Linked DNA regions of Rhinolophus ferrumequinum. The protein of the gene in region 2 interacts with the protein of the main gene of each other region in a pairwise test. Links are inferred from orthologs where the notes say so. Each region holds a gene or a part of one and is shown on either strand. Other genes may lie near its edges.

Region 1 (7,820 bases), on a different chromosome or scaffold from region 2:
CATTACCTATAATATTAGCAAAACTGTGGAAACTCAATTCCCAACAATAGAATGGTTAAGAAGAAACCTAAAAAAAGAAAGTTAAGGAGAAAACAAAGCTCAACACCAAATAACATACACAATCACTAAAACTACATAAAAATGAAAAGGTAGAAAGTAAAAATAAGAAAAGGATTAAGGTAAAATTTTGTCCAAACTTTAATATTGTGGTTACATTGTCCTAAAAGAGCCACCTTCTGAAATATATATGCCAATTAAAGACAAAATAAATTTTTGAAAGTCATGAAAATCCACCATTCACCAAAACCCCAGAAGTCAAATATGAAGAAATGTTATGTTATGTAAAGCGGACATGTGAATTTCTAGACTTTCAAGAGTATTTTGCTATCTCTAAACACAATGCTGCATTTTCTTTCTCCACCCTTGGCCCCAGAAACTTCTTTTAACTGCTCATACACACAAACCTAAGTGAGGACACTCTAGAAATTGTAACTGTGATTCAAAAACAGTGATTCCAAACTAAAGAAATTCTACAAGTACATTAACTAAAGATCTGCAGAAGAGTAAAATTTCACATTATGTGGGTCCAATACATTAAACAAAACTTCACATATCAAAAAGAGTAAGGGCTATAATTTATGCCTCACGTGAAAAGTCAAAGCCTAAGGAGAGCCAACGCAACTTAAAAACCTTTTACTTTTTAACTATTTGAACGAGTTGAATTTATGTGCCAGATTTCTATTTGATGCCAAAGAAGGAAAAAAAATGCATCCTTACTAGAAAAATTGTATTTAAATTTTTTCCATTTTTCATTGTGGATGCCACAGAGAAAATGAAGCTATTATAGACTCCTTAGTGGACAGAACTGGGTAAATAGCCATTTCATTTGAATTAGTTTGGCTAAGTAGCTTTTTGTAGGTGTTTCTGAGAAGGGGAAAAACTGACGGGGCGAGGTGGGGGGAGGAGTCAAAAAACCCAATGTCCCCATTCCCCCCATTGAAGGCTGCAGAATTCCTTAAAAATCGGCTCAGATTCATTTTGATGGGTAACTTCTCCTGCCATAAATGAAAATTCTCTGGAAATGGATTGCTGAAAACCTGTTTTTAAAAAGAAAACTCAGTGTACGGGGAAAAGAAAATCCCTTTATCCCACCTTCTAAAGGCCAGGATGTCGATTTGAGGAGGACCCTGGTCACCAACCCTGTCAACCCCACCTAGGCCTACGGGAGGCATGGCAAAGCCGGCAGCACGGATGGGCTGGGGCACAGGGGAAATGGACTTGCGTGCCCTTGGTGAGCGCTGGCGGCACTCCCCAAGTTAAGGACACTGGCCACAATGGAATGGAGTCTATTGACATTTGCTTTGAACACTAAGCATTTTCTTGGTTCGTGAAATACGAACTGACAACCCCCCCCCGCCACACACACACACACACACGCGCGCGCACACACACACACACACACACACACCGCCCCACAGGCCTTCCCGCACAAACACACCCTCCAGTCAGACCCGGTTAGCTGAGACGACACCGAGCCTTCAGTGTCTACCACAAACCTGGGTTATGGGGAGACGACGCAAGTAAACACCCGCATTTCTGCCACCATGTCTCCTGCTGCAATCCCTCTCCCCTCGAAATTTCAAAAACTGGGGCGGGGGTTGATACAAAATGCGCAGCGTGCCAGCTCCCTGCCGCCACCAGCACTAGCACCACCACGCCAGGTCCCCAGGCCGGCCCGGGCTTCTGACGCACGCCTGGGGCCGGCCCTCGCCCACCACTATTCAAAGGCGCCTTCTCCGCGGCCTCGGAACAGCAATGCGGCTCGGCCACCACCCGCGCCGGGGAGGCCTTGCGGGGGAAGGAGGGAGGCCGGGAGGGGGCCGGGCACTCCCCACCCCTTCCTCAGGTGGGGGAGGGCGGAACGCTGCGGGAGGCTGCACGGAGCGGGACGATTCCACGGAGTTCTGGAGCCCCCGCCGCCGCCTTGGATTTAAATGGGGAGGGGTGCGGGGGGGGCCACTGCCCACCCACCCCAACCCGGTCCTTCGATCTTTCCCAGGGCAGGGAAGGGGGAGGTTGAGGGCACTGGACAGACCCTAACGATTCCAGATGTGCCCGGTGGCTGCCCCGTTAACGGGGAGGGAGGGGGCGCTGCCCTAACTTTCCCCCTCCCTCGTTATTCCCCAATGGGGGAGTTGGCAAGTTTCGGAAGACGGAACCAACCCTAAAGACCCTTCCTTCCACATTAGTATTTAAGCTGGGGGTGGGTGCGCTGCCCAAGCACACCCCACTGGGGGCGGAGGAGGCCTAAGGAAGGTGGAACCGGGGCTGACAATTGCTGCGACCTGTAAACCGCTCCCAAACACTTAAATGGAGAGGAGGCGGCTGCCCAGTCCTTCCATCTTGACCGTTTGGGGGAGGGGGTGCGGGTGTTGCAGGAGGCTGGACACGGCCTGACATTCCCAGAGGGATCCCGCGGCGCCCCCCACCGAACCCCCCAGGCTCCAGACGGAACGGGAGCCCCACCCCCACTGCGGGCCCCCAGCCCACCCCCCCAAGCCCAGCGGGTCACGGGGCGGGGACGGCTGTGAGGGCCGCGGGGGAGGGGACGCGAGGCCCGGGCTTGTTCGGGCCCGGAGCAGAGGGGCCTGGGGCGCGACACCCACCTGCCCAGGCCGGGCCGCCCGCCGCCTGCGCTCGCCGCCGCTGCGGAGGAGGAAGCCGCGGCCGAGGACGACGAGACTGAGGGCGAGGACGGCGACGGTGCGGCGGCGGGCGACGAGAGAAGGCCGCCGCCGGGTTTGCGGGCACTAGCGGCCGCAGGCGGCGGTGGCTGCTGCTGCTGCTGCTGCTGCTGCTGAGGCTTCAGCGACATGGTGAGGGGCCCATACACCGGCCCGCACGCCGGGCGGGGACAGCCGGGAGCCGGGCGCGCCGAGGAAACGCCGGAACGCGGCGGGGACGCGCGGGCGCCGAGCGGGGAGGCGCGGGTTGGCGCGGCCGGGGGGACGCCCGGGCCGGCGAGAGGGAGAAGGAGGACGACGAAGGGGCGGGGAGGCCCGCTGAAACCGAGGAGCCGCCGGGAGCCGGGCTGAAACGCGCCGCCGCCGTTGCCGTTGCTACCAAAACAGTCTGAGGCGGAGGGAGGCGAGCGCAGCCCGGAGGGAGGGGGGCCGGGGCCGGGCGGGGGAGGGGCGGCGGAGGGATACGGGCCCGGAGTCGCGTCGCTGCCGCCCCGCCCGCCCCGCCGCACCGGCCGCGGGAACGAGCGCCGCCCGGGCCACCGAGTCGCGGCGAAGCGGCGAGGCTCGATGGTAGCTGTGGGGCCCCGAGGAGCTGCGGCAGCCGAGCGCATCGGGGGCCGCGCACAGAGAGGCGCCGCGTGGCGGTGCCGGGTGGGCGCGGAGGTGCGGGACGGGGACTCTTTACCGGAAGTCGGAAGGGTCGGACGGAAGCAGAACGTGAGGCGGCCCCAGGGCCGGGAGGGACACGTGAGGAGCGGGCGCCGCGCTGGGCCGCGTCCGCGGGGGTCGGGTGAGGGCCCGGCGGCCAGCCCTGCCCGGATCCGCCCTCCTCGAGGCGGGTCTGCCCTTTGGAGAGGGCGTGTCTGTCTTCGCCTGCAGGGCTGGCCTACTGTGGAGGACGGGAGGGCAGCGTTTCTTTCCCGCCCCCCAGTATTCCTTCAACGCCCTCAGACTGCTGGGGGAACCCGCGATTGCACCCACCTGATGCAACCTAAAAGGTGGACTGCAAGGGCCTTCAGGGCCGAGACTATGTTTTGCTACGTTTAAAGCACCTTCAACACAAGCATCTCACAAGTTTTCTTTGTATCCCCAGCACCTGGCACACAGTAGGCTGTGTCAACTGGGTGTCTCAAAGACAGGCCGTCATCTCTTTTCCTGCCAAGACCAACTGTGTTGGAATCGCACAACCTCCTGGGGCCACCCACATCTGGTTACCTTGTCCCCACTTTTTCCACCCCAGCAACACAGTAACCAGAAAACTCTTTTGGGTATCTGACCTTCATTTGAACCCATTTTCCCTCACTTGAACTTCTTTTTCCTCATTCATGAGGCTCTAAAGGAAATAAATGTACGTGATTGGTAGAGCTATGGATAATGGGGTCTCCTTCGGTGGAAACAAAACAGACTTCACAAGAATGTGCGAACTTTAGACCTTGGCCCCTTTCGAAGTTTTACTTTAACTTAGCTTGCTAGCCAGCACAGTAACCCGTTTTTTAAATGTGTTGTAATTGAACTGGAAGCAACTAGATAACTTTAAGTGAAGAATCTAGTTTTTAAAAAAAGTGCAATTACTTTAGGAAATGATAGGAGGAAAACACCAAAATTCCCCCTCAATCTCCCAGAATTGTCAGATAAAAAGATAGAGAGATAGAAAAGCCTGGAGAATGATTAAACCACGAATTTCCAGTAGCCAAATTGAAATTAATCTCCTTTATAATTCAGCCAGAAATGCTCATTATATTCTGCAAACACCTGAAAAGGAGGAAATCAGCTTTATCTCCCACCTTAGGTAAAAAGGAGGCGTGTGTGGGTTGGGAGGGGAAGTAGCATTCTTTTAAACCAGTAGTTGCAAAATCCTTTAAAAATTAACCCAAAGGAAATTGAGGCTAAAAAAACCAGATGGGGAAAAAAAATAGAAGGACTATAATAAAAATACAATCAACTTTCTGTGGTTTAATGATTTGACAGTTAGCCATATCAGGGACCAGGTTCCCAGAATTCAATCTTAGGACCTAATTTCAGACAGATGGGAAGAAAAAGGGAAGTGGAATGAGAGGCCTGAAACTGACATAGCTGAACTTGACTTCATTTATGCTGAGTAAGCCCAAGTTTTCACCCAGTATCATTTAAAATATAGTTTTACAGTTTTATTAAGGTATAATTTACATGTTATGACATTCACTCCCTTTGTATACAATTCAGTGATTCTTGGTAAATTTGTAGAGTTGTGAAACCATAACCACTCATTTCAGAACATTTTCCTCACCCCAAAAGGATCCTTCATACCCCTTTGCAGTTACTCCTGGTTCCCATCCTCAGCCCCAACAACAGCTAATCTACTTCCTGTCTCAGTGGATTTATCTGTTCTAGACATGTCATATAAATGGAATCTAACAATAGGTGGTCTTTGTCTGCTTTCTTTCATTTAGCATAATGTTTTTGAGGATTATCTGTGTCATAGCATGTATCAGTGTTCCACCCCTTGTCACTAAGTAATATTCCATTGTATAAATATACCACATTTTGTGTACCTACTCACCAGTTGGTGGACATTTAGATGTTTCAAGTTTTTGGGTATTATGAATGCTGCTGCTATGAACATTTGTAAATATATGTCATGTGGACCATAAGTAGATGCCTAGGAATGAAATGTTGGGTGGTATGGTAAATTTATATTTAACTTTTTAAAGATACTATCAAACTCTCTTTCAAAGTGACTGTGCCGTTTCACATTCACACTTGGAATGTTTGAGCGTTTATCATTAAATTTTGATTTGTGCTTTCATGTTAAAATAGAAACCGAGAGAATCTTTACTGTCATTCTATTTTATACAACCCCCCATTTCTATTTATGGAAGGAGGATTACCACCCAAAACCAAGGAAAATTATTATTGCAAACCCTTCACTTGAATTCTAGACCTCTGAAGTCATGGTTATTTAACAACAACTGTAATGTCAGAGGGCTTTAGCTTTATATGAAAAATCCAAACAATGCACATTAAGACAAAATGGTGTAAAGTGCAAATTTTAAGATGACCCTGCGTAATCCTATTCTGGTGTTCAGACCCTGTGAAATCCCCTCTACTTAGATATGAGCTGCACCTAGTGGCTTCTTTCTAACAAAAAGTTAGAAAAAAAATTACAGGTTTCCACTTCCAAGTTTAGGTTATAAAAAGACAATGGCTTTTGTTTTGGACTGCCTTCTCTCACTCACTTGCTTTGAAGAAACACAGCTGCCATGTTGTGAGCCACCCAATGGAGAGGCCCACATGGCAAGGAACTAATGTGTCCCACTACAGCTACGGACCTGAGGCTGCCTGGAGCCGTGTGCGTGAGATTGGAAGGGGATCATCCCCCAATCAAGCCTTGATATGACCTCAGCCCTGGTCGATGCAACTTATTAGGCTTTGTTAGAGACCCTGAGCTAGAGATGCCCAGCTAAGCTGCACCAGATTCCTAACCCTTTTGTTGTTTAAGTTAATAAATTGGGGGGTAATTTGTGTGTGCCAATAGATAACTATAATAATATAGATGAACCCCCCCCAAAAAAGTGCACTTCCTGTGATTTCCCTGTGCATTCTTTTAAAGAATTTAAGAATTCTTTAAAGACAAATGCTGAAGTCGGGAACAAATATTAGACCCAGGAAAAGTTGAATGTTTGAATGCCCCTTCCCCCACCCCCAATGATTTTCAGGTAGCCATTTAAACAAAACCAACAAGGATCATTGCAGAGTTGTCATCAAAGGCAATGAAGAACATTGTCCTGAAAGAGTTCTGATGTTAAGAGGTATTCTTAACATTTTAATTTCTAAAATAGTGATGGCCATTTCTACCACTATTTCAGAAATGAAAAAAATATCAAGTGAGAAACCATATGAAGACTTTCAAACTTGGGAATCTAGTCCTATGAATTCTGTACTTGCTTTCTGATTTTCAGTGACCCTTCAGCAAGCCATGTGGCCTTATAATTTTCATCACTTCAATGATTAATCAAGTCTGGGGATGAAAAACTGATGTAGCCATGCAAAACAGAATTGCAAAGAATGATTTGCTATCACTTGGTACAGCAGCACACATCAGATGATCCAGTATTCCCAGCAATTCATTTTTCTGCAATCATTTCTTTTCAGCTCTCTTCATTTGATCATGTTTAATGTATGATGATACATAATTCACTGAATACTCTTGATTTCGCTTTCAAAAGCATGAAAATTAATTCAAATAAAAACTAACATGCACAACCCCCCCAACACACCCCCATCCATCCTCTTCAAGTTTTTGCAAAGACCAATCCTCATTTAGAGAGAGAGAGAAAGTGAGCAGATGTAATTTCAAAAATAGGACCATGGCTAATTAAACCAGTGTTTTTTTCTAACCATGGTTACTCAGAATTCTTAGAGGCTAATCTATTTGTAGACAACCCAGGAATCCCAAAAGACTAAAAGCAATAAAAAGTGGGGAGGGGGGACGGGGGGGGGAGCAGTTGCTCCCCCCGGAGGCATTATTTATACACCTTGAGTGTGAAGTAACAACTTTCCCATAGGTTTGAAAAAACTGAGGGGTGTGTGGCAAAATAGTAGCGAATACAGCAACATTATTTGAAAAGCTTTTAAATGAGCCCTTGCCTCCACACAAGCACACATCTAGTTGTTAAGTTGCTCATTTTGTTTTACCTTGTGGGACAGATTAAGGATGCGGTGACATAATTCACAAGGCAAAGCTGGGTGCCAGCTGAAATAGACACAGAAGAAAGAATTCTTTATTTTTCATTGGAAAATGCTTGTGCTGTACAGAGCCAGAAATTTAAAGAAACTCAGCCTTTTTGTTCTTCCTCTTTCTCCCTTTTTGTTTTCATTCACCAACACCCCCACCCCCTTTTGGGGTGAATTTTGTGGGCAGCCTGTTGTTTCAGGGGCCATAGATTTATGGGAAGCCAGAGATGTGAAGTATGCACCATTTGGAGAATTCAGGAGGGGATGTAAAATGGATGCATGCGGCCCCGGTGGCAGCTGAACTGCCGTTAGCATGGGATCTTGTTAAGTTTGCTACAGGATACCGTGAGCCCTACAATGAAA
Region 2 (7,671 bases):
TGACACTTACCTCCATCCTGGAAAGTAAGGTCTGTATATCCCTGATCATGTGCTGAGCCATCACCAGCCGAACCCGGGGCTCACTCTACAATGAGAGGGAAGATCAGGGCAGGTTTGAAATGAAGCCACGAGATCCACAGCCTACTGAACCAGGTCCCAGCATCTCCTCAACCAGGTCCGACCCACCTCACGGCCTCCTTCTCCCAGATCCCCTTCGCTGACCCTCCCAGGCCCCATGATACCTGAATCGGGGCCTGTTCCATGTTGATGTGAACATCCACAGCAGAGCCGTCACTCTGGGGAAAGGGTAAGGGAAGTTGCTCTGGGAGAAGCCAAATACTGAGGCCCCCACACTTTCAACTCATTCTCTGGAGCCCCACCCTTTTTCCCCTCAAGACTGCGGCTATTAGCAGACCGCAGGGCCCTCCAACCCCAATCTAAAGACTGCGACACCTGTCTTAAGAGCCCTCTGCTGTTACCACAACCAAAACTACCCTTCCCCACAAAAACCATCCCATGTGGAACACAAGCTTACAGGAAGATTGAAGGTTCCAACCATGACATAGCTGTTGGCATTCCGGTCATGAACAGAGGTCGCAGGCCCCCGAGGACCAGATGAGGGTCCCCCACCATGGGTGGCTGAGGCAGACCCTGTCCCAGAAGATGCCCCAGAAGGGATCTGAGTCTGAGGAGGAGCACGTTCCACCAGGTGGATAACCTTTCCCCCAACGTCTGGGGAGAAAAAGTGAAACAAAACAAAACAAACACGAAAACATTGTATGATCAGGTAAACCCTCCATCTCAGCTCATCCCTCTGGGCAATTACCTCAACCTCTCAAATGCCTCCCCCACCCCCTTACTGTATTCCTGGAGCTTCTTATCATCCTGCAGAACTCGTCCCTGGTAGATGAGCCGTTGTTTCTCTGAGGGGATGCTGACAGAGGCAGCAATGTGCTCCTTAAACTCCTTTACATTCATCTGCGAAGAAGGGACACACACAAGTATGAGGGAATGAAGGAAAGAGGAAGGACAGAAGAGGGACAAATGACTTCTGGGGGTGAAGCGTAAAAACCATCCCATTATAAAATCACTAGCCACTTGTCTTGACTGTGAGGTAAGGATGGCGCAAAGCCCCAAACTCAGACAACTCCTGTCAAAAACAGACAATGAACATAAGGAAATTCAGTTTCTAGGCCTAGGAGAAAAGTACATGGCTGAGAAACAGAAAAGCCAACTGACATTCCCTTCACTCCTTTGCCTGGCTCCCAAAGAAATGTGTGTCTAAAGATACCAGTGATCCCTCCCCAAACACAAAATGATACAACTCTAATCCCAAAGATAATAGTAACAACACGGAAAATCGGGTGGACAATCAGGTTAAGGAAGAAAAAGAGAGAAGGCAGCAAAAAAGAAAAACATTTTTCCTAATTAGGCAACTGACTCTTGGGAAGTATCAGGCTGCTTACGTACATATAATCACAAAAACCTACATGGTTTTCTGAAATACACGTAACACTGTGTTTTAAAAACCACAGACCAACCTCTCACAAGTCTGTCTCCAAATATTACAAGAGTAGTAATATGGATACTTGTATCCATGTTGTTGAGCTCCAAAGATTCAAATTATACCACAAACATTAGTTATTCCCCTCAACAGTCTACTAAGGATCTACCTGCATTACCAGTTCTCATTTCTCGCTTTTAAAAACACACTATAGAGACCTGACCAATTTTTGTTTTTAAGACACACTTGTCTTTGGGGTCTCTGTGTTCTGTTTCCATTCCCAAAGGCAGGAGCCATGTCTGTGCCTTTGAGCTGCAGTTCACTCAAGATGATGGCATACAGATTCCTCCTCCCTCCATTATTTCCCTCTGCAATGAGTTCTATCAAGGTGGAGGAAGGCAAAACAAAATCTACCTCATTCAACAGAAACCATACCTTCTCACTCAACAAGAAACATCAGAAAATGTTCTGTCTAGAATATGAACAAAGGAATCAACGAAAGAAAAGTTGAGGACCAGAAAATCAGGTTTTTCTCTCAGGCTAAGAGACCTACAAGAGAAAGGGTAAATGACTGTCTTCCAGAAGTACTGGGGTCTCACCTGGGCCCCCACAATAAAGGTCCGAGTCTGAGAATCCAGGGTCTTCACCAGCACCTCCAGGCTGTCAGGCGCCTCCATAGTGGTACTGGTACTGTTACTGTTACTGGGCTCCATGGCCTACAGCTCTCTAAGGAAGAATGGAGAGAGGCCCGCTGTAGCCCAGAGCAGATTTTATATACCCAGAAGCCTCTCCGGCCTGAGTCTCCGCCCCAATACCTAAAGAGTTTCTCCCACACAAGCACACACACTCACACCCGCCCCCATCCCCCTTCTGATTCCGGGGCACAGGGAAAAACACAATGGGCAAGACACGGACCGCACAGGGAGCTAAGGGGACGGGGAGGTGGGAGGGGCTCCACGATGCCAATCACAATAAGGGAGGGCAAGTCGGGCTAGGAAGCAGGGAGGGAAGGAAGCGCGAGACCAGTGTCATCACCGGTCGCGAAACAAGGACCCCAGAAGACGGCAAACCCTGGGACAACGCGAGAGCGGGGAGGAGTGGGGTGGAGGGAATGTCGCGCTAGACTCTGCGGAGAAAGTGGTTTCGCGCACGCGCGCCACGCCCATTAAACCCGCCTAAGTCACGACAGACCCGAGATGACGAACACTCACGGGGGGCCAGACTGGCTAGATGACTGCCCCCCTCTTCCGCCTTCCTTCGGTTCTCCAGCAGAGCGTCGCAACCAACACACACCAAATACACACACACCACCCTGCGGCTCCGCCTCCGACTTCCCCCCGGTACCGTCACTTCCGGTCTCCTCCAACCTGCCACGGACGGCCACTTCCGTTTCCCCGACAGTATTTGGAAATCGCGAGGCGGAACTTCCGGCTCCCCCAGGTCCCAAGCTTTACTTTCCTGGGGCACGACAAGAAAGTCCGCGGCCCCAAACAGTGAGTTCCTGGGGCGAGACGGGCAGGGCCGGCCAAGATGGGAGGGAGCCGAGCACCCCGAGAAGCCGCCGCCGCCGTCGCCCGAGGGGCCGTATTGCGCCTGCGTGCATCGCAGTACGCATGCGTACACAGTTAGGCACCGCCCCATCGTCTGATGCTGTTAATTTCTTCTGGGCGCGCGCTTGTGCAGTGGGAGATTGAGGTGGCTACTACAAATGCCTGGAAAAAAAAAAATCACCAGATGAGACTACGACTGTCTCAAGACGCTTTGGTCGGTTGTATGGATCTTGGAGTTTGGCGACTGAGGATTGTGTCTCGTTAACCTATGTTAGTCCGCAGAGACTTTGAGACGGCACTGTCCTGGCCACCTAAAATTCCATCTCTCTCACTCTCGCTACGCCACTCCTATGGCGCCTCCCGAAGTCACCCTTTCCTTAGGCGGTTAGGGGTGGTTCGCGAGCTGTGTTGAATGCGGACGAGTCGTTGGGCCTGACCTCGGGTCGGCCTGGTGGGCGTTTTGCGGAGTGTGGGCGCCATGTTCCTCACCGGCAGTGCGCGGCCGAGGGAATACGCCATGTTTTGGAGAAACTAAGGATTTACCTTGCATGACTTTTGTAAAAAGAAAAAAGTGTCGGGGGGGTACCTCTGAGTTTGGGAGCTGGGAGCAAATGAAGTTCGACTGGACCAAAACACAAAACTGACCCTGGGGAATTGAAGGGACCGCCAAAGTGCTTCCGTAGGCTAAGGTCCAGAGAGTTACTACCTCTCTGCCCTTTTCTCCCACCCCCGCCCTCGGGCTAGTGTCTGGGCCCCTCTGCGCAGCCACAACCCCAGCCTTACCCGTCGCTGCGGCGTGCCGGCCCCTGGCGCCCAGCCTTTCTGGGATTCGTTGTTTATCTATACCCATGTCCCAGTACTGTTTCAGGTAAGAGTTCTGATAAACACCTGTTTAATGAGCACTTAGTTTGTGCCAGCCAGTTTTCTAAGGGTTTTATGTAGTGTCACATTTAAAAGCCTTTGAACGCTTGAGATAGTTACTACATCCATTTTATATAGTGCGTACACCTAGCCAACGTAAGTGGCAAAACTGACAAATCCAGGCCTACTAGACCCTTCTGGGTCAGGCACCTCTACTGCCCCAATAAATTGGTTTTTATTATTTAAAATGTCAAATATTGCTTAAAAATAATAGTATAATGCACCCTCATATACCCTAAGCCTGCCTCACCTCGCAGGACAAATCTTTTGTCAGTCTTGAGTTACAAATCGATTGAGGAAGCGCCACCTTTTCATTGCATTAACTCCACCCAACTCAACTGGCATTATCCAATGACTGCCTCTTGACAATTCTTTCCTTACCTCCTATTTGAGAATTTATTACCCACCGGAAGCTATAAGTGCTTTACAAACATTACTATTAATTTTACCAAATAATTACTTTGGACTTGCCATGTGCAGGCCTTTGCTAAGGGCTTTTATGCATTGTCTCTTTTAAGCCTATGAGATTGATGATTTACTCATTTACAGGTGAAAAAACAGGCATAAGAGATTAATAAAATTGTCCAAGTTCTAGTAACTGGTAGAGTTAGGGTTTGAGCCCATTCTGCCTGACACCAATGTCTATCATCTTTAACTACTAGGTTATGGAGCCTCTTGTAGTAATAAACTCAGTGAACTCATCTGTCAGTGAACTTTTCTGGATGGTGTACATGTTGTTTCCCCAATTATAAACTTCAGAGAGAAAGCCTCCCATCAACCATGCCCCAGCACCTGATTCATATCTGTTCTAAAGCACTTACCAGGTTGTATTGCAATGATTTGTTTACACAGCTAGTTTTCCTTAGACTGACTTCTTCAAGGCCAGGGACTGTGTCTTACTCATTTTTACGTCCCCAAGGCTTAGCGAGTTCCTGGCAAACAGCTGGAACTCAAAAGAGTTTGCTACCGTAAGTGAATGAATCAATCAATCCACCTCTCTTCAGTGCTGCACAACACAGCAGACATCCAGCTCAGATATGGGTTGAAAGAACACAGGTTTCTACCTTCAGGACTCAGCTTCCTTATAATTCCCCAAAGACCCTGAACATGCCAGGGGGTATTGTGGAGTGGTTGCATCTAGGACAGGGGGAGGAAGGGCCGAACCACTCCATACTTGGAAAACAAGGTTGAAGTTACTCATTAGCAGGTAAAAGGGTCAAGGGTTGAGGCAAGGGGGCTGGAAGCAGAGTGGACTGAGCAGCCAGCGGAGAACAGTTAAAGCACCAGCCACTGCACGCAGAGCACCAGCTCCCTATTGCTTGAAGATGTTCCACCAAATTTGGGCAGCTCTACTTTACCTCTACGGCATTCTCCTTAACTCCATCTACCAGTGCCCTGAGCACAGTCAACTGACAACTCAGGGAGTAGATGGGAAAGAGGTATGGAGAAAAGGGGGACGCTTATAGCGGGGGCTATGAGGGACTTGAGTGGGTGGCCTAGGGTGACCGGAAGCCACATTGGGAAAGGAAAGGAGGAAGACAGTGTGAGTGTTGTGATGATGAAAGCAAGGACAAGTAAAAAAATATCAGTACTATGCCCATCAATGTAGACACATGGTAGAATTGGCAGGAAGCAGGGGGTGGGGGCGTAGTTACTCAGGTTGATTGAGGGCAAAGAGGAAAAGTCATTTAATGACTCCCTATCATGGATCCAAGCCCCAGTTGGAAAAAGGCAGCCAACACCTCTGCCCCTAAGTCTTGCTGTCCTGACAGAGGTTAGATGAATCCTGTAGTGGGACCCACCCTCCTCTGCTCCCCTTGTCTCTCCAGTTCCCAGAGCCCCACCTGGGCCAGTGGTACTTCATCGCAGGGGCAGCTCCCACCAAGGAGGAGTTGGCGACTTTTGACCCTGTGGACAACATTGTCTTCAACATGGCTGTGGGCTCTGAACCCACACAGCTCCAGCTCCATGCTACCATCCGCACGTGAGTGGTGAGGGGGCAGGGACCAAGAGGTACAGCCTCTGCCCAAAGTGTGAGCACCCACCCACAAAAAGCTGCGCTGTTTGGCATATTCACTCTTTTTAGCCCACTGAGTTCAACAGCTCTATTAGTTTTCCTCTGCGGAGAGATGGGCCTAACCATCCCTTGGTAGCTTGAAACCCAAGGGGACCCGGGCTTCAAGAAGGAATAAGAGGGAATAAAGGTTGGTACTGTGTGGTGGGGATGTCACTCAGTCTTTCCTCCTTGCAGGAAAAATGGGTCCTGTGTGCCCCGGGAATGGATCTACCACCTTACTGAAGGGAGCACAGATCTCAGAACTGAAGGTTGGTTCTCTGTAGCTCCCCAAGTCTCCTGGGCTTGCCTGGTTTTGCATCTCTGTCCTCTCACTTCCCCCCAACCCACCCTGACAGGCCGCCCAGACATGAAGACCAAGCTCTTCTCCAGCTCTTGCCCAGGTGGAATCATGCTGAAAGAGACGGGCCAGGGTTATCAGCGCTTCCTCCTCTACAGTGAGTAGGGAGGCAGGATGGGTTGGTGGGAAACACAGGAGGGGCAGAAGAGTCCCTCACTCTGGGCCCTGTGACATCATCCCAGGAAGGGCTGGATGCTTCCAGGAGGTGCTCACCAGGGGCGGTGCTGAAAAGTAGAGGGTTTGATGGGGCCTGGCCTTTCTGCCCTTCCAGATCGCTTGCCACACCCTCCCGAGAAGTGTGTGGAGGAATTCCGGTCCCTGACCTCCTGCCTGGACTCCAAGGCCTTCTTACTGACTCCCAGGAAACAAGGTGAGAGTGTAAAGTCCCACAGAAGAGGACTGGGACTCACCAAGTCTTCTGTGGGTGCTGGATGAAAGGGACAAGTGATGTCATCAGAGGGCAGGGCCCAAAGCTGACATCATCAGAGTGGCACCAGGTGTGTTGACACATCCATTTGTGTCATAGGTTGTGATGGCACCAGAGGGAGCCAGGGTGGGCTTTGGGCTACTCATAAGAGAGGTTTCTGAGTTGGCAGTGGATAAAGGGGGCAGAGGAGCAGACGCAGAGGAAAACAGGTCACCGAGACCCCTTCTTTGACACAGGGAATGAGGGAATGCATTCTTCCCCAGCCATTACCAGCAACCTTGCTTCTGTCCCTGGATTTACTTCCTTTCCATCCTCTTCTTTTCTCCCTCCTCCCACCAGAGGCCTGCAAGTTGTCCAAAGACTGACCTGTGGCTTCATCTATGCCCCCAAATGGATTCAGTGGGAGCTAAGATTGTGGTGGGGGAGAGAAGCTGGAGACTCCCTTTCAAGAGTAATAAAGATGGCTTTCCAATCCTCATCATATGTTGGGGTTTGTCTCCAGACATCAATCCCACTCCCCCCATTTCAAAATTCTCCTGAACCTTCTACTACCTAAATCTCCAGCTGGACGGCATCACGAAGGACACTGAGTGGCAGTAACTCTCTTTGTAGTGATATATTTAGGATTTGGTGTGACACAGTGATTTATTGCTGAGTGGGGAACCCCTAACCCCCGCGTGGGGACTGCAAGCTCCAGTGCTTCCCCACAGTGCCTGTCTGGGCTGCCAGCCCCGAAGCTGGCCTTCCTACCAATGCCATCTGCTCCGTCCCCACCCCCTCTGGCTCCCAGGAACACCAGAGCTTCACTGCAGGTTCCTTGTCACCTGTGTGCCCCATCCAGACTCCAAACCCACC
Region 3 (7,311 bases), on a different chromosome or scaffold from region 2:
AATATAAGACCCGGTCTTATTTTACTATAAGACTCGGTCTTATCTAACACAAGACCGGATCTTATATTAATTTTTGCTCCAAAAGATGCAATAGAGCTGATTATCCAGCTAGGTCTTATTTTTGGGGAAACATGGCAATCCCACCTACAGAAATCCACTGTTCTGTCGAACTGCGATTTGAGCCAATGAAGCGAGCCGACCGCAAGGTTACAAGTTTCACCTCGCTCGTGAACATGGCGCAGAAGTAGTCGCTACAGGCAGCCAGCACGATGCGGTGGGCAGGGAAGTCCTTCTGCTCCACTCTGAGGGTCACGTCGCACAGCGTGTTGCTCTTCCGGAGGGAGTTCATCGAGTTGAGGATGGACTTCGCGTGAGTATTTGTCATGATGTCTTTGGGGGCCATGATGCCTCCCATCAAGCAACGTGGAAAAAGAATGAAATGGGCCCTGGGATTCTGCAAATACAAGAGAAAAAAAGAGGGGGCATATCTGAAGGATGGGGGTTGGGGGTGGGGACAGGACATTTTCAATTAGCGTTACAGCTCAAGGAGGCTTCCTGAGAACCAAACAACAAACAGAGAGCACCCCCATTCCTGGCATCACCCCCACAATCCAGCCACTAAGTAACCCAAGTAAAAATGATCTCTTCTCTGAGTACGCTTACCTCCTGACATTTATCATAATCAATACTCAACTGTATTATAAATAGAAAGAAACTACACGTCCGGCTCATCTACAACAGGCTGTTATCTCCAATGATAAAATGATGAAAAGACAAAATTTCTTAAAGGCGCGTACATGTTATTCAACACCCACGAGTAGTTTACACGGGGAAGTGCGGAGAGGGTGGGGATCCTGTGTTATGTATTTTTTCTGTCCAGGCAGGTGTACAGTAAGTGCCTAGTCAATGCATTCAAGAAAAGAGAAATTGTGCCTCCACCTTAGAGCTGTGAAAGCCAGTCAGTGAAAATAAACTTTTTTTCTAAAGAACTAGGCAAAGAATCATTTATGGTGATTTCCAAATGTATCTGGATTCCTTTTAAAACGAAACTGCCAATGAGGACCCGCTACCTACACTGAGTGATGCGAACCGCGCAGGCCTGTGTGTGGGCTTCCAGTTGATTAAGGTCCTGCCTGAAGCTCTTCTCCAGAAGGGTCTTCCTACTCTACGCTATCAGTCAATGTCCGTCGACACCAACAAGTTAATATTTGTAGTAATTCTCTGTACCAAAACAAACAGCCTTCTCGGGATACAAACTTAGCCAAAGCCCACTAATTTTACTGCCACAGTCAGTCACCTGCAAAATTCACCAGCACGCATCACTTGAATGAACGTAGTAATAGATTACACATCAAAAAATGAAAAAAGTACTTTCTTAATGGTTGTTGTCATGCAGCTGCCTGCCCGTCTGTCCCCTCGTGCCTACCCCTAAAAAGAAAGAAGAGTCTGTGAGACTATTCCTTTCAGGGACATTGTTTCCTTTCATGCCATCTCCTTGTTTGGCCCCAAAGCATGGCTGGCTAGCCAATGACAGGTAAGATTCCTCAAGAAAGGAACGACCCAAGACAGGCACAGTTGTGTGGGGACCACCAGGAGAATTCACGGGGTTGATAGAGGAGGGTACAGCTTTCCACTTCCCCCGTCTAAGGAGAGCTTCTGCCTCTGTGGCTGTATTCCTTCCCACAACCTGCTTGGGAAGTGGTTCTAGATGTGATAACATCAGTTCTCCATCTCAGTATGTTTTAAACATAAAGGTTTTGTCCCCTGGGGAGGTACAAACAATAATTATACATCATGGGACTTTCGGCAGGCAAGGGTGATCGGTTTGAACCAGTTTTCTGGTGTGGTGTATGAGACCCACAGACCGTGGAGAAAACAATGCGACTTCCTTGTATGTGAATCAATAAAAGCCACAAGGTGGCCCGATTCGGGGCTCGCAGTCCTTTGAGGCTGGGAGACCCTTGGCCCCTTTCAAAACTCTGTTGATTTCTGTTTCTTTCTTAACCCTTCGCCATCCCTTCTCGTTCTCACTGCCCGTGTTGCGCTGTACGTGACAGGCTTTGTGACACTATTTCTTTCCTTTTCTTCATCAATGACAACTCTGGGGAATGAAACGGGGTGGTTAAGTCTGTCTTAGTTGGAATCCAAAACTTTCTGAAATGATCCAAGAATAAACCTCAAACCAGGGTCTTCAAGAGTCCAAAACTCACACCACACTTTTTGAACGGGAAAACCGACATCGCACGTCCTCCTGTTTACAGCTAGCGTATTGCTCTGTGACACTCGAGATAATCCCTCCAGCAACCCTGCGGGGCCCACTTTACAGAAAAGGAGGTGAGTCATCAGAGCATATGATGTTTTCAAAAAGATTTTCCTGAAGCCAACTGAGTTGCGACGCTGCGGAGGGAGGAAAGGTCTAACAGATGCCCATGGACTGTGGAGGCTTTCTGGGGGGTCCCCACAGGCTCGGGCCACGTCTCCGTGCCCGTCACACCGACGGTAGCTCGAGCGCGGCGTGGGGATGCCTGCCTCGCCGGGCCAAGTCTCGGCACTTCCTCCGCCCTCCCGTTCCCGAGGCCACTGTCCCAGAACCTCCATAACATCTGCATGGGGGTTGCACCATGGAGGACTCGGGGAGGGCGTCAGGTTCCGGCCCAGCTGAACCCCGGCGGGAGGAGGAGGAAGTGTCCCCCGACGGCACCGGGGACGCGGCGGGCACCGCAGCTGGGGTCCCGGCGGGCGGAGCTGAGCGCCGCGCGCCGAGCCCCCTCCGCTGCGTGCCCTCGGCGGGGAGGACAGGCGGGCAGGGCCGGAACCCGGGTCGGGCCCGGCAGGAAGCGCCCACCGCCACCCACGCCCTCCGTCAGCTCACCTGCGCCCCGCGCGTGGGGATGGGGTGAGATGGGCGCGGCCAGCAGGCGGCTCAGGAGCCCGGGCGCCGCCGCCGCCGCCCCGACCCGGAGCCTCGCGAGCCGTCGCCCCGCTCGTCGGGTGCCGTCCCCGCGGCCGCGCGACGTGATGACGTCGCAGAGCGCGGACCGCCCCTCCCCTCCCGGAGCCGCGTCACGTGGGGCAGCGGCGGCACGTGACCCGCAGGTGTTGGGCGCCCGGCCTCCCGCGGCGGCCGACAGTGAGCTGGTCCCCGAGATCCCGCGGCTGGGAGGGCGCGAAGGGTCCGGGAGCCACGGCACTGATGGCCGGGGGCACGTTTCACCTGCCAGGGCTTCAGGGACGCTCTCACGGCGAGAAAGGCCACGGAGGCTGCAGGTGTCTTCCAGGCTGTGACCTTTCGGGCCGCCCTGCGACCCCCTGACCTCCGCATTCTCTGCATCATAGTGGGGCCCGCCGCCGTCCCGCAGGTGATTCTCTGCTGCTCGCACCCCGAGACAGTTCGTGGAAGGGACTGGTGGTCGCCGGACGTTGGTCCCTGCGCTGAGGGACGTGCGAAGGAACCCATCAGAAGTCCAAGGAGGCCTCATCTCCCCTTTCGTCTGCCGACGTCTCCAGCTCCGGGGCGCGGGGCGTCCCCTTTAGGGATTTCGCTTCTGACCGATTTGGGCGCACTCAGCTGACTGGCTGGCAAGGGGATCAGGCTCCTTGACCCCATTTTTGTCCAAACATTGTGTTTGATGACACTGTTTCCCTCTCGGGCCTTTGATTCCTTAGGGATAAAACCATAGGCAAGTGGGCAGCAATCTAATTTTACAGTGTTTCCTTTCCATCTTTGGCATCATCTCCCTACGATCTCACATTATCCCTGATTCACACGCTGGGGGTGAACTGCAGGAGTGGTACAAATTCTATTGCATTTGGAAAAGTTCACTCAAGTTACGAATGCAGATATCCTTAACTGAGATTTTTATCTTTTCTCCTTCATACACACTCTTGCACACGTAAAGTAACGTGTGTGCAAGGTCGTCGTAGGTTATATGGAAAACCACCTTCACCTCCGTAAGTAGGGGACTGGTTCAATAAAGTAGAGCGCACCCTCCAATACCCTGAAGTTGTGAACAGTGCATCTAGTTTGCTATTATTTGCATAAAAAGGTTGGGAAAATATATTCCTATTTGATTGTATATGTATAGAATGCATTTGGAAAGATTGAAAATGAAGTGGTAACATTCGTTTCTTTGGCAAAAGGATGTGGCTGGTTGGTTGGAAGACAGGGCAGGAGGGAGGTTTTTCCCTCTGTTTCTTTTTGTGCCTTTGAACTTTTCGGAGGCTTTAGAACATGGGGTTTAACTCAGAATGGTCTGGATTCAGATACTGGCTCTGATCCTATCTGTCATCTTGGGAAAAAGTCTTAGTCTTTTGGGACCTTAATTTTTTCACATGTGGCATGGGATAATACCACCTACTTCACAGGGTTAAAAAGATACAAAATGACATACGCAAAGTACAAAGTACATGCTCAAGAAACGCTTTGTCTCAGACCCTCTTTCCCTGGTCCTGTCTCCTACTGAAAATGAGAAAACACCGGATTTCAGTCGCTCCGGCCTCCGTAGTTCCTGTGGAAGATGGCGTTGGATCGGATGCGACAGGAGAGCTTGCAAACATGCCTCCAGGGACTAGGCAGTGTGGTGAACCAGAGAGCACACCCCTCCACAAAGGGCACAGCTGCCACTGAGCTGCAGTTGGTTGTCCCCAGCGTACAGGCGTTTGTGAACATTGCACCCTGCAGGTCACCAGTGTGTGCTCTGCCATCAGCTCATCTTGTTAAACCCTTACTACATATATGCAAGAAAAAATACGCATGGTTTAAGAACACCATGTGCTGACCAGCTAGTTACAAGGAACGAGCTAAGTTCTGAAATAGTGTGTCCCTCCTCTCCTCCAGTTCTTACCCTTCAGGGGCACCATGCGCCTAAATTAACATTTCCTTTTGAATTTTTACCATATTCATACCCTTAAACTAGCATTGGTTTTGCAAACTTCTGAACCTGATAGATTTTTCCGTAAGTTGCTCCCCTCACTCCCCCTAATCTTTGAGACCCAACCGTGTTGTTGTCACTGTAACTAAGTCGTGTTTCATTGTGCGGCTAAACCAAGATTTCTTTTTCCGTTCAAGTTGTGGACATTTGCCTCGTTTGCTGTGTGCTGTGCCTACACACAGCTATAGTGAGTCTTTTGATACAAGCCAAGTTGCTCAAGAGTAGTGTTTTTCAAAGTCAGGCCGTGAGCTGTCAAGGAAACAGTTTAGTGGTCAGAACAAGTGCTTTTTAATGAAGTAATCCGGGGTGGACTTCAGGTCCATCTCATGGCCTCTCATGAACTGTTTGGGGGTGCCACACGTACACACACGCCACGCATGTCCACACACCCTGGTCCTGCTCCCAACGGCATCCCACACCCACACCCACTCAGTGTCAGGGCTTCTATCTAATCTGTCAGTCGGAAGGAGGAGGTGGAGTCACACTTTGGTTTTAGCTTGCATTTCCCTGATTACCACGTGAGGTTGAGAAACTTCCTGTTTGTCAGCCTAGTCAGATTATTCTTTAAAAGGATCCCTTATTCATCCAGTGTACAAACCTAACCTTGACGTGAACCCATCTTTGTAACTCAGGAAGATTCCTAACTGCCCCCGTTAGCTGGGAGGTGACACTGTACGACTGCACAGAAAGCATGGACTAACCTCCTGACGACACAACCGTAAGCATGGCAGGCAGTCGGAAAGGAACTAAGCTCTCAGATGTGCTGACCTTGGATACTCAAAAGGGACGCAGCCTGACACCTCTGAGGGCCTTCTCACGACTACAAAGTGATACAGTGTGCGAATTTCTCTCGTCAAATTCTGTGCAATGAGTAGAGAAAAACAAGGCTGTATTGAGGAGCAGATGCTGGGAACTCAGTCGGCTTCTCCGCGGCCCACGCGTGCTGGCCGAGCAATGCCGAGGACCCAGATGTGTGCCTCAGCAGGGCCTGAGATGACTTTGCTGATTCTAACCCACGGACAAGAGTGCAGAGGGCTGAGACCACGCATGTTAAGTCTTTGGACACTAACTGTCTTCTGTACTTTCTTTTATTATCACCATAGTCTTTGCATCAAGATACATAGCAATGATAGCAGATTTCTTTTTAAAGCTTAGTATTAAATATTAAATATCTTTCCCCTTTTTAATTTTACATTACTCTGCCAAGAAAAAAAAACATTGAAACTCAAGTTATCTGAAGCCTGGACACATTTGCATGATTAGCCGGGCTGCATCAAAGTTGGTGACTCTATTCTTCCTGCTGTGTAAGCAGATTCAGGCCCTGGAAAGATGGGACCGGTTACAATTGTTTTTGAAAAGTGTGCTACAAAAACGGTGGCCTGTTATAAGCCAGGTTACAAAGTAAGGACGCGGTAAGGGAGGGACTTTTTCTTCCAGAAACAGAATTTCCGAAGAGTCCCAGTTCATCACTTTTCCCCAAAATGGTTGGAGGAGGGGTAAAATCTCAACATGAGCTTCAAAGTACTCTGCAGGGACAGAGTCGCCTTGCTGAGGGGACTGCCAAGGAGGGGCATGGTGACGTGTGGCCACCCCCACCTTCCCTCAGCCAGGGAAATGGAAAATTTACTGTCCCAGGGTGGGAAGTGGGCTGAAGCTTGCTCGGACTCAACTCTCTAAGAGGTTTCCTCTAGAAACAGACAACTGAGACTCTTCCTGTCACTTCAGCAAAGAAGTTGTGTTTAAAAGCACTTGGGAAGTCCCTCCCGCCCTCCGGTGAGACGGCTCAGAGGAGTGAGTCATCAGTACAGCCGCCTTCCAGGCCGTGGCGGAATTCCTGCAGGTTGGAGACCCCGTAGAAATGGACAAAGGCTGCCGCCACCACCAGGACGTGGAAAATCTGATGAGACTGGAACTGTAGGGACAACGAGAAGAGTCCTTAGGGAAGTGGCACGGAAGGACTGGGAGTAAGGCGGAGAAAGCATTTACCTCTCCTAGTTGCACCTTAAAATTTTTTATCATGAAAGTGATATATCTGTTGTAGAAAAAATTTTAAAAGTCCTGTCAGGAATACACCAAAATGTTAATGTTGGTTATTTCTCCCATGTATATGTATGTACCACAAACAGTGCCCGACCCGAAGTCTCGTACTGCCCTTTTAACTCCAGGCCAGTCCCCACCCATCACAGGGAGGAGCCGCTTCTTACCCAAATGTCAAACTTTCCAGGAAAGAAGCGCTCAGGGATTCGAGCCGCGTAGAGGCCGGCCCCAGTGATGTACATCACGGCCATGAGGAAGAACCAGCCCATCTGGCCCACCGTGGTGGCCTTGACAAAGCCCTCGGCGATGGTGAAATGCATCGTGGGTACCACACCGCTCAGGC
Region 4 (7,941 bases), on a different chromosome or scaffold from region 2:
CTTATGGGATGTATCACCCGTGGCCAATCACCTCAAATCCCTGTCATTGAGAATGAGAACGCTAAAGTTCCATAGAGTTCCTTCACAGCCATCAAGGTGTTTGGGGGTTGGGCGGAGAAGAGGAGGGAGGAAACCAGCCATCATTTTGTGTTTCCCTATGGCTGGCTGTAACCTGAGCAGCTTTGGATTGGGCTTCTCTGAAAGTTTTTGCTGAAAGAAGGGGTTCCTTGCTGGAAAAGGTACGAAAAGCTACTGGTCTAGATGGGTTCAAAGTTTGCCTTTTTTTTTCCTTTAAAAATATATTTATATAAGTATTACATAGAAATATAATTTATATTTGTTATATACATCCTGATGATACATGCAATACTGGCTCAGGGAGAATGTATTTATAGGTTAAATTTATAATTAAAAATGTAAAATGAAAAAAATAAAGCTAAGCAAAATAAACAGGCTAAAATCCACCCAATAATTATAACACTCACAAATAACCAGTGTTCATCTTCAGAGGTATCTCCTTATAGACTTCCCATATTTTCTACTAAATTTCTAGGATTTTAAAAGATTGAACTCTTCACTTAACTCTTAATAATTATTTCATAACTTATACTGCCATGGCTTCATGTGCCATATTTTTTTTCGATTAAAAAGACACTAATTCTTGCATGACCTCTATCGTCTCTGAAAATGTTCATTTTTCTGGCTTATTGTTTTGATTCAATACCTGTGTTCTTAAATCAATTGGAAAACAGACCCACCCCCACACACTGACTTGCACACCCAACCACACACAATACCTCTCCTAGTGTCTTTATTAAGCAATCTAATCACAGTGACTCTGGGCAACTCTATATTGGCCTTTATTCCGTTCATGTGAATTGAACTCTGTGTCTTTTTGTCCAAGCTCCTTGGGACAATGACCATTTGTTGTTTGGCTGGCCCAGTTTCATCTATTGTGGAGGGGCAGGTACATCTCTGGTGTTGGTCAAAAACTTATAATAAAGAGTTTGATTTGGGCTGATGTTTGGTTAGAAAAATGTGATCTAGAGTCAGCTGACAAGCACAATAGATGCAAACAGCATAAATAGGCTTTCTTTTTATAATGGGCTTCTTAGCAAAAATCTTAGGAGATATTGTAAATATTATAGTCATATAAATTGTCCAATATGTGAGATGAATTGTAAAGAAACTTCCACTAAGTAAAACAAAGGACAGAATTTTCTACTTCTACAACAATATGTTGACTCTTGGAAAGGAAGTCTTACAACTTCACAGAACTCAGTTTACATTAGTGATAATAATGGCCTACAGCATTATTTTATTAAATAAAAAAATCTAGTTTGATGTTTGGAGCTTACATTTAATTAAAAATTATACTGTGCTTGGTATTGGCCTAGAATGAAAGCAGGCAGTCAATAAATACTTATAAATTAACAGGCTTGACTATGAAAACAAGTAAAATTGCAACAAATATGTTTGTGGTGCTTCTTGAAGCAGTTGGATAAATCATGTAACTGTATGATAAACCTATAAGATGCTTACCTGCCTTTCCTCAGAGCTGCCAGAATCGGCATGTTTAACCTTTGAAACAGAAAAGATGAAGAAAGGTTACAATGTGAATGTGTTCCCAGTACATGAGAGTGTACAACTTATTTATTTTGAGGAATTTTCTTTAAGCTTCTGTAGTACTCACTGGAAGGGTGTAGGCGATGCCTAAGAGGCAGAAGCAAATCACTGCAATTCTCATGGTAGTGATTTTTCCTGCAAAAAATTTGTAATGAATATTTGATCACAGGTTAAAACGGTGATACCTTTTTATGCTACCACATTACAAAATAACCACAAATAAAATATATTTTTTGTAAAATGTTTTCTACTTCTTAGAGAACCCTTTTCTTTTTAACATAATGGTCTTTTGAGTTACTATTTGTAATGCCGCCCTTATTCTCCATCTTTCACCATTAGTCAAGGGAGAGGGGAATTTTGCAAGTCTATATATTCAACTTTTAAATTTAGACTTTCAGAGATTATACCATTATTAGATGATATGGCCAGCTATCTAAATCTAAACACAGCTCAACAGTAATTTAATTAAAATAATAAACTAGTATAGGAATCTTTACTTTTCAGAGAAGAAAAACAGAGAGAGAAAATAAAACCATGAAAGAAATTTGCTTTCTCTATTTTTTCAGCATGCATTTCAAATGTGATTTTTAACTTAAATTATTAAAAAGGTACTACTTTAGGTGAGATGAAGCTATCTCTAAAATGAGTTATTTAAATAAGTTATTCTCGAATTTGAAACAAAAAAGGAAACATTGAAAACAGTCAACAGCTTTTCTATTTGTGATAATAAGTCTACATAGTGTCAAACAGGTATTTTGGTGAAAATTTTAACAGCTAAATACAGAAGTAAAATATTTAGAAAGGGTTTTTTTTTCCTTGAAAATAGGATTAGTCAAATAATTTTAAAAATTGTGCTATCATTGCCTTACATTAACACTAAAGATCATTGTCCTTTTAAATGCCTTCACAATCATCTATCCATTTACAATGAAATACGTATAATCATTGCACAGGAGCACAGAATTTTACTTTTTTTTTTTTGGATTGGAAGAAGTAGTTTCAGTCCTTTTAAGGACTCAGTGGAAGGAATTTTAAGTTTTATATTTGACTGGCTTTCAAAATAGTTGGTCACCTATCCTCTGTATTCCGGCATGCTTACTCAAGACTAGAACAATTTAAATCTGATCAGCAGCAGTACAGTTAAACTCTTTTCCTAAGAACCTGACCTCCATGAATTGAAACTGAATGCATAGGACAACAGCAAAATAGTAAACTGCAGGCTTACCTTGGTCTGAGGCGGGCTCAGAAGACTGTAACTGACCTGAGAAGAGAGTCCAGTCCCAGATGGAGCTGCACTCCTTGCTTCCTCTCTTGCTGCTGACAACCAGGACCTGCCAGAATTTAAATGCTGCTCCAGACTTTCCCCACCGACACAGGGAGGCGGAGAGATGTGTCATGAGGTTTTTTTGCCACTGGCCAACCCACTTGCTCCCACACTTCCCCCTCTGGTTTTGTGGTTAACACACACCCCCACACCCACACATACACACAAGTTAAAACATTACTTATTTACAATATCATTAACTAAATTTTTTTTTATGGGAATGGCATTTAGCATCATGAAAGGGCACCTAGGGGTCCCATCAAAAAAGGGGGAAAATGACTAGTTCTTACAAAGACTTTATAATTTCTGAATTAGAAGAAAAAATATTAATACAAATAAATCTTAAATAAAATTAAATAGAATGGGTCTTGCTTCTTTCAGTTTAAATAACAGATTAGGTAATATATACAACTACATTTGCCTTGCAGTTATACTTATTTAAGAGCTACACGGCTATTGTTCAGGTATACAAAGAGCTCAGAGATCCTCCCTCCATCCTTTACTACTCAAGCTTGGTTTTGTCATTTCAAGTATGCAGCAGCTTGTCATTTAGACAAATGGTATTTATAACATTAAGATCTATGTTCATGCCCATTAAGTTGGACTTAACAATGACCTTTCAAGGATTTTTGTCACACTGTTTGAATAGTATGGAGGTGATTAATTTGATAACTTGCTATACAAAATAAAAGAATGTAAAAGAATGGTAATTTACTTTAGATGCTGCAAAAGGAAAGTGGTGTCTAACAGCACAGGGTGACTTTTTGAGAATGCTGCTTTGGGAGCCAGAGAGTGAGTGGTTTTGAATTTCACTCTGCCACCTAAATAGCTGTGTGACCTTGGGCAAATCACTTAGCAGACCTACACCTGTTTTCTCATCTGTCATATGCACACAGTTACCTAGCTCATGGGGTTTTTAAGAAGTTAAATGAATTAGTATGTGGAAAATGAAAGTGCTTGGCCCATATTATATGCTTATTTTAAGCATTGTGTATGTGTTAACTGTTACTGAAATTTAGGAGGAGCAGGTCCTCATCATTTGCAATGTCTTTAAGTGGAACGAGTTATTTGGAATAAGACTAGATGTTAAGATTTTAAACTGTGTACATCAATCGTGTAATTTACACACTTCTAAAGGAATGGATTAGATTTCTGAATCATCTTTTTCTAGTTTTTCTCCCAGAATATATAAAGTTGATTACTTAATATGAAATTGTAAAAAAAAAAAAGTCTATATTTACCAAAAAGTTTACTGGGTATTTAAAAGGTGTTTGAATGAAAGAAAATTGCACGTGAAGTTTGAATAATGAAATAGAAATTAGAGGTAGCACAGCTCTGAGTTCATTTAAATGTTTAGTGTTGTCTTGAGATTTTGTACTTAACTTCTTCATCTACCTTTCTCAGTTGTGAAATGGAGATTCCACTATTCATTTTCCTCATATCGCCATTGTAAAATCTGTGTGTGAAGTAAGATTAAAGATAAATGGCCCCGTTTATTATTAGTTCTATCTAAGGTGTCAGCTTCTATTGACCAAATATTGCTTTTAATATAAATATGGATAAAATGATTTCTTGCAGTGTTAGTAGTATAACTAACCCATAGATTTCAGGGGAAAATATGTCTCTTAAATTGTATGTATTCCAAATGAATTGATATTGATTTGTGGGTTCTAAGCACACATTTTAGTAATTCAGATGGCAGCTATCTCTATAAAATATAAGACACACAGCTTATAAAGTTGCAAAACAGACTTCTTATTTCCGCTTTTAAAAACTGTTTTTTTTTTTCTCTTTAAACACATCACCCACATAAGTTGGTCATGTTGTCAATTTAGTGGGGGGGAAGTTCACAAATTCTAAAAACAACAAGATTTCCACAGTATTCACTATGGTTTACTCTGTGCCCACGGAAATGATTTAATATGAACTTAGAGAGTTATAGGAATAGATTTTGCTGGAGGCCAGCCATCTTGCGATGAACTATATGACCCACCCCAGGACTCTTCCGGTCATGACTACAAAGTGCCACACGATGGCAGCATTTCTGAATAGGATTTCAGACCACAATCTGGTCTGTCAGTTTTTTTTTTACTCCGCTGGCTAGAACATTCATCTATTTAATGACAGAACTCTCAAACAGCTGGGGGGCAGGGGGAGGGCTCCATTTCTTGGAATGCCAGGTGAGTAAATATTTCCCAACAATAACCCGCTACACAATAACAGGGGACACAGAGACCAAGAGAACCAAAGCATCCTTGTTCTGCTCAGTGGTTGCCTTCAGCAATTCCCAGGAGGCCGCTATCGTCTCCTTTCCCACTTCCCACACTCACTCAAAAGGTTACTGATCCCGACGTCTCACTCAGAGTAAAGTCTTATGAATTCATGGTTAAAGAATGTGTCTGGGATGCTTCAGAGATGAGAAGATAACGTGATTTATAATGAAGGCAGTTCTATGAAGTATGAAATGGATAGTGTGTTATTCTGACATTTGAAGAGGTTCTTGCTTCTTACTTTTTGTAATCAAACATGCTGCTGACACCTGATTTTTTCTGAGTAACATTTTCCAACTGTCAGAATTAACATTTTAAATGATTTGAAACAGTGGCTTGATCTGTAACATTTTCACACTGTTTCCATTCTTGATTAGGCTGATCCTTGGTTGTTAGAATCAAAACTCAAAATGACCAAAGTCCTTGTAAGTTTTGTATGTGGGAAGGAAAAATTTTAGTTGTTAACAGGAATGAAGACTGGCTTGTGATCATAATCTATAGACACTATAAGAGGACATATGGAAACAGATAGAACATTTTGTTTTTGCTTGAATTTCATGAAAATTCCCATATAATAAAAATTTAAGTGTCCAGAAGTCACTGTTTTGGTGAACTTTATTACTAACTTCTAGTTTATTTGATTTTTCCAATTATATTTTACTTAGTATAGTATAATCAACTGTTTAAACTCTTTCAGCTCTATAAATAATTATTTTTTCCCTCTGAGTCAAGGTTCAGCTGAAAATCTGATATTTTGATACCATCACCAAACTATCATAGACAAGTTGGGCATTATAGCCAATAATAGATATGCCTACCACAATATTCATCATTTACAGTCCAGGGAAAAGGGACATTATTTATTAGAGGAAGGGAAACAAGGGTGAAAAATAAAAAGGTGCTGTTTTTAAGTTCAGACATGAAATTAAAATATTTCAGTAATACAAAAAAGAAACACCATACAACTTTTTATCCCATTGTTCAATAACTTAGTAAACAAAATTCAGTTGCGGATGAAATGGTCTTACTATTGATAAACATTAGTTTCACTTCAAACAAAAGAAAAACGGTTTCATTTTAGATCCACAGCATTGTTACAGAGTAAGTAAGTATTCCATAGATTGTTAATGATTAACCACTCACTCTCCATCCATAATAATGAACTATGAACATATGGTTCTTACTGATCACTACAGTGCATGGGCACCATGTGTCAATCCATATATCACATATTGATCGCTAATATTTGCCAATACTCAAGAATCTAGCAGCATTCTTTATTAAAGTATATGATCATTAACTTTGAGGATATTCTGGCACTCTTTAAATAATAGAGTCTCTAAACTGGACTTAAATTATTAATATTTTCTAAAAATGACACCATTCTTACCCTTATGAAGCCCATTTATTCATGAAACTCAACTAAGAAATTTGAAACTGGAGTAACCAATGAGGTTAAGGGGTGTGGTTAAATAGTAAGCTCAGTGGAGCTGTGGAAAGGGAAGGCATAGGGTGGGGACATTGTGTCTACACTGGAGTTGAAGGGATGAGTATTTTGGGATTGAGCTAAAACAGGAAGTCTCTCTTCCCATCCAAAATCAATCATGGTAGCATAGAACTCTACCTGCAGCAACACAGGCAACAATCCAGGAGCCTGAAATCAGAGAAGATCCAAAAGGGGTGGGGGAGGTGCAAAACTGCAGCTAGAGATGTACATAGAAAGTCTAGCAGTTGGGGGCCCATGTTAGAACAGAAAATACATTTTGCTGCACTAAGCAATCAGTGACAGGCATTTTGCAGAATGTATTTGAGCAGAGAAAAGCATCCATTGAAATCAGGTTATAAGAATTTTTATTTAAAAATCTGATGTTTGAGTAATTTTTAGTGGAGGATCCAGTATAAGGTTGATATGAAAAAGAGACTATCTCAGTGCAGAACAGAAGAAAGAAGACAAAAACTGGACAACAAAAGAAGTGGCTAGGAGCATTTCAGATCTTGCTCCACAGCATATGTCATTAGTTGGGCTCAAATAAATTTTTATGAAACTTCAACAAAGGAAAAAGCAGCTAAATTATATTTTCCAGCCACACTTGGCTAAGGGTTTTTGTTTGTTTTACTAATTCCAGTTAAGGAATACCTCACGTTAATGCCCCCTGTTCCATGGTGTAACATTTATGTTTTTTAAAAATATTATTTAAAATAATTAGTAATTAAAGCTTGAGTTCTTTAATGTTTTAATTCCTCAATAGAATGCGAGTTCTAATATATGCTCATCCCTTAGCAGTTTATGTGCCAACAAATATTTATGCAGTAATGAAAAAAATTAACTCCATAACAAAATGTATATAATTCTTAAGTTTATTATTTTCTGTTGCTTTCATAAAGCTCTCAATAGAACTTCTCCTGTAGGTCCTATTGGAAGTTGCTGTCAGACAGAATGGATTACACCTGACCTCAGGCATGATTCCTGTGCACCAAGATGGCTGGTCAGGTGAAAGCTATTTTTTTGCAGAACATGAGGTCCTCTGAGATCTGGCATCCTTCATCTTTCCAGTCTTATCTTTCACCAGTCCCTCCTTATACTCCATGAAATAAGCACACAGCTACTCAGAGCTCCCCAATAGGCCATGCGATTTCAAGTTTCTACACCTTTGCTCACATTGCACCTCCCACCTCCTCTAAAATACCCTTCCAGTCCCATCCACACCTGCCTGTGAAATA

What was found.
Region 1: the proteins of BAG6 (region 2) and ATXN2 interact in binary tests that used the Homo sapiens proteins (3 or more experiments, as listed by UniProt). The link is inferred for Rhinolophus ferrumequinum from reciprocal best matches to the Homo sapiens genes BAG6 and ATXN2.
Region 3: the proteins of BAG6 (region 2) and KLHL12 interact in binary tests that used the Homo sapiens proteins (3 or more experiments, as listed by UniProt). The two-hybrid records come from large-scale screens. The link is inferred for Rhinolophus ferrumequinum from reciprocal best matches to the Homo sapiens genes BAG6 and KLHL12.
Region 4: the proteins of BAG6 (region 2) and SPP1 interact in binary tests that used the Homo sapiens proteins (3 or more experiments, as listed by UniProt). The link is inferred for Rhinolophus ferrumequinum from reciprocal best matches to the Homo sapiens genes BAG6 and SPP1.

The regions. Positions count from the first base shown.
Region 1 is NC_046308.1:6,921,735-6,929,554, forward strand, and holds the start of ATXN2 (ataxin-2), read right to left. Parts: upstream 3,008-7,820; 5' UTR 2,876-3,007; coding exon 2,667-2,875; intron 1-2,666. UniProt on the Homo sapiens protein: Involved in EGFR trafficking, acting as negative regulator of endocytic EGFR internalization at the plasma membrane.
Region 2 is NC_046286.1:2,146,819-2,154,489, forward strand, and holds the start of BAG6 (large proline-rich protein BAG6), read right to left. Parts: upstream 3,011-7,671; 5' UTR 2,872-3,010; exon of another isoform or gene 2,696-2,871; intron 2,231-2,695; 5' UTR 2,218-2,230; coding exon 2,104-2,217; intron 979-2,103; coding exon 861-978; intron 733-860; coding exon 536-732; intron 297-535; coding exon 243-296; intron 86-242; coding exon 11-85; intron 1-10. Other genes in the region: APOM (apolipoprotein M), read left to right, coding at 3,152-3,268, 5,805-5,959, 6,227-6,300, 6,388-6,486, 6,661-6,759, 7,156-7,181. UniProt on the Homo sapiens protein: ATP-independent molecular chaperone preventing the aggregation of misfolded and hydrophobic patches-containing proteins.
Region 3 is NC_046310.1:165,675-172,985, reverse strand, and holds the start of KLHL12 (kelch-like protein 12), read right to left. Parts: upstream 3,012-7,311; 5' UTR 2,873-3,011; intron 489-2,872; exon of another isoform or gene 455-488; 5' UTR 416-454; coding exon 221-415; intron 1-220. Other genes in the region: ADIPOR1 (adiponectin receptor protein 1), read right to left, coding at 6,715-6,843, 7,136-7,311. UniProt on the Homo sapiens protein: Substrate-specific adapter of a BCR (BTB-CUL3-RBX1) E3 ubiquitin ligase complex that acts as a negative regulator of Wnt signaling pathway and ER-Golgi transport.
Region 4 is NC_046288.1:41,878,512-41,886,452, reverse strand, and holds the start of SPP1 (osteopontin), read right to left. Parts: upstream 3,009-7,941; 5' UTR 2,852-3,008; intron 1,762-2,851; 5' UTR 1,748-1,761; coding exon 1,694-1,747; intron 1,582-1,693; coding exon 1,543-1,581; intron 1-1,542. UniProt on the Homo sapiens protein: Major non-collagenous bone protein that binds tightly to hydroxyapatite. Appears to form an integral part of the mineralized matrix. Probably important to cell-matrix interaction.